Drosophila melanogaster: one gene and its partner. The protein of the gene in region 1 interacts with the protein of each later gene in a pairwise test. Each region holds a gene or a part of one and is shown on either strand. Other genes may lie near its edges. The genes, in order: CG7465 and CG13840.

Region 1 (3,746 bases):
CTATGTTGCCAGTGAATAAAATGTAAATTGGCAAAGCCATAAATTCAGCTCGTTAATACTCGCAGTTTTTTGAGTATTTTTAAGTGCTGCACACATACAGGAAATTAAGTGATTTATCTCACGCGTACAATGGCAGGCCAAACTAGAATTGTAAGGCTCTCAACCTTTATGCATTTGGGAATAGGAAAACTGATATAGTTGCTATTTGATACCGACCAAAGTGTTTATGGTCGCCGCGTTAATTAGCCAAACTGGTGCTATTAAGGTCCGTCTTCTCAGATTGGTGGCGATTGGTGGCGCGTGACAACCATCCATCACCGGCGCAATCCCCACAACCACCTCCATTCATCTAAAACTTCGGGCAACCCCATCGATCATGGCCTTGACTTTCACGGCTGTACTTTGACCCGAGTTATATAGCGATTTTTCGATGAATCGATTGGCGGTTGATTAGTCATCGTTTATCCTTCACTTTACGGAACCGATTAGTTCTTAGCACCTCTAACGAGCCTTGCTTCATGGCTATTTATTTTAGCTTCGATGTTGCAAATACACCAAATAAAGCATGTACTCCCCCTCTCCGCCAAAGTTAAACCATTAATCATTTGCTGCACTTTGACTCTTAACAAATTGATTAGCTTGACTTGATGGCCTGCCTTCTTTTTTTAAACGCATTAATATCTTCAATTTAATCATTCAATCCTATTTTATCAACTGGCGCATGCGTTTAAAATTAAACTAACTCATAAATAAGCGAAAATAAATACTCCTTATATGCAGGTGGAAACAGATTAACTTGATTTATTCGGACATCCCTTGCATGTCCATGTTTAATTTTGGAAACAATTGGTGAGAGGTTTTTAACCAGAAGTGACACAAAAAATCACTTGCAGATTAAATGTCACATCTGGATGATATTGAAAAATGCTTAAGCTGGGATTAAGTGTGCTGTGTCAACCAAATTGGTCGATTAATAATTATAAGAAAACATGTTTTTAAAAGTAAGCTGTACCTATTACGATTTCAAATCAATGTTTTATTAAAACTTAAATTTTATTTTTAAATAACAATTATATATTTTAGACATATCCATACTGTTGTCTTTTTTAATGTCAATAAATATTATTAGCCATTTCAAACTTAGTAATTGATAAGCGCGCATCCGCACAAAGCGGATTGTTCTTAGAATTCACAATGGGATCTTCTGAAGATCTCGTCATCCTATATCCGGCATTCGGTTTACAAACTTATACAATTCGTACGCATCAGGCATAATTATATCATATTTCCAAAAATTGAATGGCTCGCTTGGTCAGTTCCTATTTGTTGATTAATGAACGGCGAACGACATCGCCACAATGGGAAGAGGCTGCGATCGAAATAATCGACTTTTTGAGTGGCGATTCGGAAAGCTATTGAAGTGAGCGAATTTGATTGAAACATATAACTCATCATTTGAATTTATATCGAGCGCAATTCCAATAGCGGCTTGAATGAAACCAGGCAGGTGGAGCGAACACAAAGAGGTGTAAACAAGACGAGAGCCAAGTTAATACGGATATATGTATATGTTTATATATATTTGTATGTGAGTATCTTTGCGCGCTCGACTTGTCCAAAACGTTGATGTCCATCAAATCTTTTGCATATGATTAAATAAAACAATTAAGAGAATCCGTGCGAACGATTTTGGCCATTAAACATTTTTTTTTTAGCCATCAACTGCTCCGAAGCTATAGCTTGTGCGAATGTAAGCGTCGCAGTCGCCGTCTATCGTGTTGGCCAAGCTGCGTTTGAGCCGCAAAAGAGCGGCTTAGAACCCGTAGCTTAGCCAAACCAAAGCCGAAGTCGTGCGAATTTACAGACGCTTGCGCCGGCAGCGACGTCTTTTTGGGCAGAGGCGCAAAAAACGCCAGCTCTGTAATAGCCAGCGAAGAGCGGAGAATCTGTATAAATACCAAAAGGTTCTGCGTATTCCTCATTAGAGTTTCGGTTTTACTGCTGTGAACAAGCAACTCATCGGACAATATGGTACGATTCGACAATTTAGGAGCCATCGAATCGCCACTGAAGGACTAAACTAAACAAATTTCCCAACTGTCTCTTGCAGAAACTCTTCCTGGTCGCTTTTGCCGTGATCGCAGCCGTGGCTGCCGATGTCAGCCACCTGCCCTCCAACGAGTACCTGCCTCCCGTCCAGGAGCAGCAGATCATCGCCGGACCCAGCAACGAGTACCTGCCTCCCGTGCAGGCCGAGTCTGCCCCCGCCCATGAGCTGGCCGATGATGGCTACCGGTACAAGACCCACAAGCGCGTGGTGGTCCGCCGCCACCGCCGTGACGTCAACGAGCTCTTCAACGAGTACCTGCCCCCCTTCGCAGCTCCTTCCAACGAGTACCTGGCTCCTGCTGAGGGTGCTCCTGAGACCATCTTGGCCGATGATGGATACCGTTACAAGACCCACAAGCGCGTGGTAACCCGCCGTCACCGTCGTGATGTGAGCCACTTGCCCTCCAACGAGTACCTGCCCCCAGTCCAGGCTGCTGCTCCTTCCAACGAGTATCTGCCCCCAGTGTCCGCCCCCGTCCAGGTTGCTGCCCCAGCTCCCGCTCCAGTTCAGATCGCCGCCCCTGTCCAGCTGGCCGCCCCCGCTCCTGTCGTGGTTGAGGCTGAGCCCGCCCATGAGCTGGCCGATGACGGTTACCGTTACAAGACCCATCGTCGCGTTGTTTACCGCCGCCACCGCCGTGACGTCAACGAGCTCTCCAACGAGTACCTGCCCCCCTTCGCAGCTCCTTCCAACGAGTACCTGGCTCCCGCTGAGACTGCTCCTGAGACCGACTTGGCCGTTGATGGATACCGCTACAAGACCCACAAGCGCGTGGTAACCCGCCGTCACCGTCGTGATGTGAACGAGCTCTCCAACGAGTACTTGCCTCCCGTGCAGTCTGCTCCCTCTGCCGAGTACCTTGCCCCCCAGGAAAACACCGTCGAGGCGGCTCCCGCCCATGTCCTGGCTGATGATGGATACGTCTACAAGACCCACAAGCGCGTTGTGTTGCGCCGCCACTAAATCATCCGATAAAGGCTTCACTAGGTGATCGAATTGTGCTCATTTTTGAGTGCAGACCCTACTATTAGAATACCTCTTTTTCATTCAAATACAATAATACGATAACGAATCCATACATTCAGCTCTTTTTAATTTTATTATGTTGGGTGTACGAGCTGGGTGATAAAAGGTTATATGTATAGAATTGACTGAAGGAGGAATATATTCGGATAAAACATAAATCTTTGCGGATAATATATAAACCAGAGAATAATAAAAAACGACAAAGTTTTTAAACATGTATTAACCTATTTAAAAATAATAATTTAATGTAATAATATAAAAAGGTTTTAGGGCTAGAATATATTCATTATTTCACGATCTAATTATACACATAAGAACGTGGGATTAGAGAAGCAATATACACTTGACACATAATCGAAATTGAAATCTATTTATGCCGAAGCTTCCGCAATCTCATCTTCAAAAAGTTCAAGCCTGCTTAACGCTTTTAGACCATTTACCTACAAAAGTAAGGGTATGTTAACTTTCTTGGATGGTGTGTCTTTTTAATATGCCGTTATTAATTTAATAGGTTTTTATGACCTAAACGCTTATGTAATTTATTAAAATGTTATTTTATAGTGGATATATTATTTATATACGATTTGCAATTAAATATAGAAACGTTTTG
Region 2 (4,460 bases), on another chromosome or scaffold:
CCGCCGAAGCCTCTGAGTCCCCCATTAAAAAAAAAAAAACCCACCTCCGAGCGGGTCAAGCAAAGGCCAGCGACGTTGCCAACTATGCCATAGCTGGAATTTCTTGGCTATTTGCTGGCTGCCTTGGCTTCTGTTTTTGCTGGCTGCTGGATTTTTGCCTTTCCTTCGACCGTTTTCTCATTTTAACGTTTTAACGTGACTTAATGAAGTTTCAGTGTCACAGCAAAATCTGCTCCTGCTGCTCCTGCTGCTCCTCTCCGCCTGTTAATTTTATGATGGATTTTATGCAGAGCGCGCCAAAGAAAACTTTGAACTTTAATAAGTATGTGTATGCAGGCATTTAACTTTGCCATCGTTTTGTCGATTTTTTCTACTCACTTTTTTTTATTTTCTGTTCTTTTTTTTTTTAGTAGATTTTTTTCTTTACACATTTTGGCCATGTTAAGCTGGGTGGCTAGCTGGCTGGCTTCTTTTCTATGGGAACTTTGCTAAAATATGCTTCACAGGGCTTGAAAGCATTTGAAGTAATGAAAAAGAAGCGAAAAAAATTGCATCCAACAAGTATAACACACACACTCTCGTTCCAGGTGATATGGATGGGGAGGTTTAACTGTACAGTGAAGCTGCGCAAAATTTAACGAAGCTTAACCTCATTCAATGTGAAAATACACTTTACTTGTACTTTGCGCTGTTATTTCAAAAGTGCGGTGACGGTGGGCGTTGCTGCTAACGCCGCTCTAAGGGGGCGTGGCTAAGGTGGGTCTATATATATACAAATATATATATATATATGTATATAGAGAAAGGTGGCGATGCGAACCTGGTGAACTTTGCAAACTTAAATGCAGAGCAGAATGATGAATGATCCAAGGATGCCAGGCTAGCAACGAAAAGAACTCGCTCTATCTCCGTTTTTCGCCGACTTTCCCTTGATTTCCCGCCAGAGGCAACTACTCGCAGAGAAAATCACAAATATAAGATTAAAATCGGAAAATAACACTACAATACTTTAAACGAACTACGAATGGCAGAAAACACAAAAATGGTAACTAAGGTATAATATATCTATGTATCACATATTAAATGTATCTTCAATTCTACAAACCTGAATATAGAAATATTATAATCTTATATCAACTATTTTGCTGAGTGCACTATAAAATCGCTGAGAATGCTATTCCCGCAAAGGTTCTTTAAAATTGAATCACTTTAGACCCAAAGTGCATTGTCAGCTTTGAGTGAGTGAAGGCGTGGCTGGTAAATTATGCAAGAGCAACGATACCAAATGTCGTCGAATGCATCCAGATGAAAATTGAAAGTGCTGCAATCCGAGATCTCAGACGCGTTTCAAATCTCCGGCGATTGCACTTGGCAAAGACCGGACCGCAAGCACATGAAGCGCACGTCACCATTTGTGCAATCAAACATCGGAATGGCCGCGACATTGACCGCAAGCTGCCACACAGTGTGAAATCCGATGCGGCTGGGAGCCAACCGGTGCACAGTGGTTACAGCTATGTTGAAAATTATCAAATATTATGCTAGCTTAAAAAGGAAGCAATATTTATGCACTCAAAACAAAACTTACTTAATTTAATAACTTCATTTTTACCATTTTTATCACATCCACAATAGATTTTCTTTTTTAATTTTTGAGCCCTATTAGACCACAGTGCATAGGTCGATGTGCATTGCGGGCTAGCAATTGCGGTATAGCTGCGTATTTTGTGATTGCGAATTGTGCGGACAGCGGATCGCCGCCTCACTTGCATCTGAAAGGAACAACCAGAAAGGGACTATCTGGAACAGTTGGTGTGTGCCGCCGAGTGAAAGTGAGTGCCTGGGCATGGGCTTCCACTTACACAATCCATGGTGGATTGGCCAATGAACTTGAAGTGCCAACGAGGATATCCAATTACAAGTAGAGCGCTCCAAGCATTTGAAGAGTGTGTGTGTGCTATAAAAACAGCATCGCGATGTCACAAATTTGCATTTCAAAGCGGAGCAACACCCACGCCAGCTGCATCCAAACACGCACTCCGTTGGCGGATTGGAACAAAGGATATAGGACACAGGAGTTCAGGATTTCAGGACACACACAACCACCCAACGTTATGGGGCGGCCAAAATCCGGCCAAGGCTTTGGGTCACCTGCCACCAGTTCATTAATGATCTATGCATTAATGTGGCTCGCTTTGGCCATGACAATGGAGGCCATAGATGCCCCACTGCCCCTATCCCTGGCGGAGTACCCGCTCGGCCTGTCGCTGGAACATGGCAGCAAACACCATTACCAGGATGCGGGTGTGGACTCGTTGCCGGGATTAACAGGATATACGCGAAATTATTATGGCCCCACTGACACTGCAGCCGGCGATGACTTGGCAACATATGGAAATTATGCTCACAAACTCCTGGCCGCCACCCATCAACAGCACCATCGCCATTCGCAATCCTCCCTTGGCACCACGGCCAATGGCTTTGTGCCCTTCTACTACAACAGCAAACTGCACTCGCCATTCACCGCGGATGAGGAGCCGCGTCGCGACCCATCCGCCAATATCGATTTTGTCATTAATACGGCAAATTATGAGCCAAATTCCGCTGGCTACGATGTGGAGCCACATCATGGGGAGCAGCACTACGAAAGCTATGCATATCGGCCGCGGGTGCAGTTTGCCACATCGCTACCCGGTCCCAGCGATTACCATTTCGAACAAATTTCCAATTACCGGGAGAATCGCCAGCGGGAGCAGGAGGTGGAGCAACATCAGCAGCAGCAGCACCAGGAGCAGGAGGATATTACTAGTATCTATGCGCGGCTCAAAGAACTCCAGACACCGGCCAATCCAGTTAAGCGTCAGCAGGAAGAGTCCCTATCGAGTCATCATCCAAACCGGGAGCAAAGCCAGCCACTGGAGCAGCGACATTATCAGCAACCTGAAAGCAGACAGCTGCAACAGCCACACTTGCAACAACATCTGCAACAAAAGCGGCCACATGCGCTGCAATATCCTCAGGATCAACGGCATCACCAGCGCCTGGGAGTTGCCCAGGACCAGCAGATGTTGTACTCTCACAAGGATAGCCAGATTGCAGATCTCCCAGCCATAACCACCAGTGTGCACCATACTCCGGAGAGCAGTAAAGCGGTAGCCGGATTGCCGTTGGCCAAGCACATCGAGATCACTAAGAGTGTGCCCATCACCCACTATCAGAAGCAGCATGTGCCCTTCAAGCAGAACGTCCAGGTGCAAGTGCCACGAACCGTGATCGCAGCCATACCCAAGCCCATGCCCATCAAAATACCAGTGGCCCAAACGGTGGCCGTGCCCCAGATGCAAGAGGTTAAGATTCCCATCGAACGGGTGAAGCCGGTGCCCGTGGAGCGGCCCATTCCCTTTGTGGTTGAGCGCAGGGTACCCTACCGAGTGGAGAAGCCGGTGGTCTCGCCAGTTTATTATCCGTATCCGGTCAAAGTGCCAGTGGTGCGCACGGTGGTGCACAAGCAGCGCCCCCACTACGTGGCACCCGGCTGGAGTGCCAACGGCAATCATCTGCTGGGATGAGTCTATCTTAAGAATAAATTCTTAAGCCAGTTTTATACCCTTGCAAAAGGGGTTTTTTGATTTGTAAAGTAAAAGTACAAACTGTAGGGTAGTCGATAAATATATTTTTGGTGGAATGTTCTTAAGTTGAATTAAATACATTTATTAATTTTTCATGTTATGCAGTTTGATTAACGGCTAGAGTATTTCAAATTCAGCTTATGCCTTAATTTCTAGTGACTGAACCCCAAAAAGTAATTGCAATTAGCAAAACAAGAAGACAAAAAAGGCCACCGACAGCAACTGCAGTGTGGCTGCAAAAGCATCCAGCATGCAACTCCTTGATCCCAAATCCAAGTTTCTAACTCCCAGTTAACAGCTACCAAACAAAACAACACATTCGGAGTCGAAGTTGAAGTTGGAGTCACAGGGCAGGTCCCAAACCGAAATGAAGAAAAGTAGCCGAGTAAAACTTTTTAATTGAGCTAAAATCCAACAAATGCGGCTAATAAATATGTATTGAAGTGCGATGGGCAGAACGAGGCTGAAGTCCGGTTGCAATGCAAAAGGGGGCTGCAGCGAAAGTGCAAGAAAATGCAGCGGCTAATTGCCAAATGTAACTCCAGTTGAAACAACTTTTAACTGAAACAGCAGAAGGAGCAACAATGACGCACAAATAAACGCGACGTTCAACTTCGCCGAGGCGTTAACGAAACAGCAACAAAATTAGCCAAAAAGTAAAGTTCCAGCAAGGGTCGCGAAAAGTCGGGCCAGTAGTTTCTGGTTGGGGAAAGTGCTGCAAGTTATTGCCGGCTAATGAAATTAGCCCTAATTGACGTGGGAGCCATTCGACTCCATTTTTAGGGAGGCGAAGTGAGGAAGAACTCCGCACCCACCACACACAATATATGT

What was found.
Region 2: the proteins of CG7465 (region 1) and CG13840 interact in a two-hybrid assay, tested with the Drosophila melanogaster proteins (one large-scale study listed by BioGRID).

What each region holds. Positions count from the first base shown.
Region 1 is NT_037436.4:4,478,303-4,482,048, forward strand, and holds CG7465 (uncharacterized protein), read left to right. Parts: upstream 1-1,980; 5' UTR 1,981-2,028; coding exon 2,029-2,031; intron 2,032-2,110; coding exon 2,111-3,073; 3' UTR 3,074-3,185; downstream 3,186-3,746.
Region 2 is NT_033777.3:22,813,746-22,818,205, reverse strand, and holds CG13840 (uncharacterized protein), read left to right. Parts: upstream 1-2,027; 5' UTR 2,028-2,168; coding exon 2,169-3,569; 3' UTR 3,570-3,723; downstream 3,724-4,460.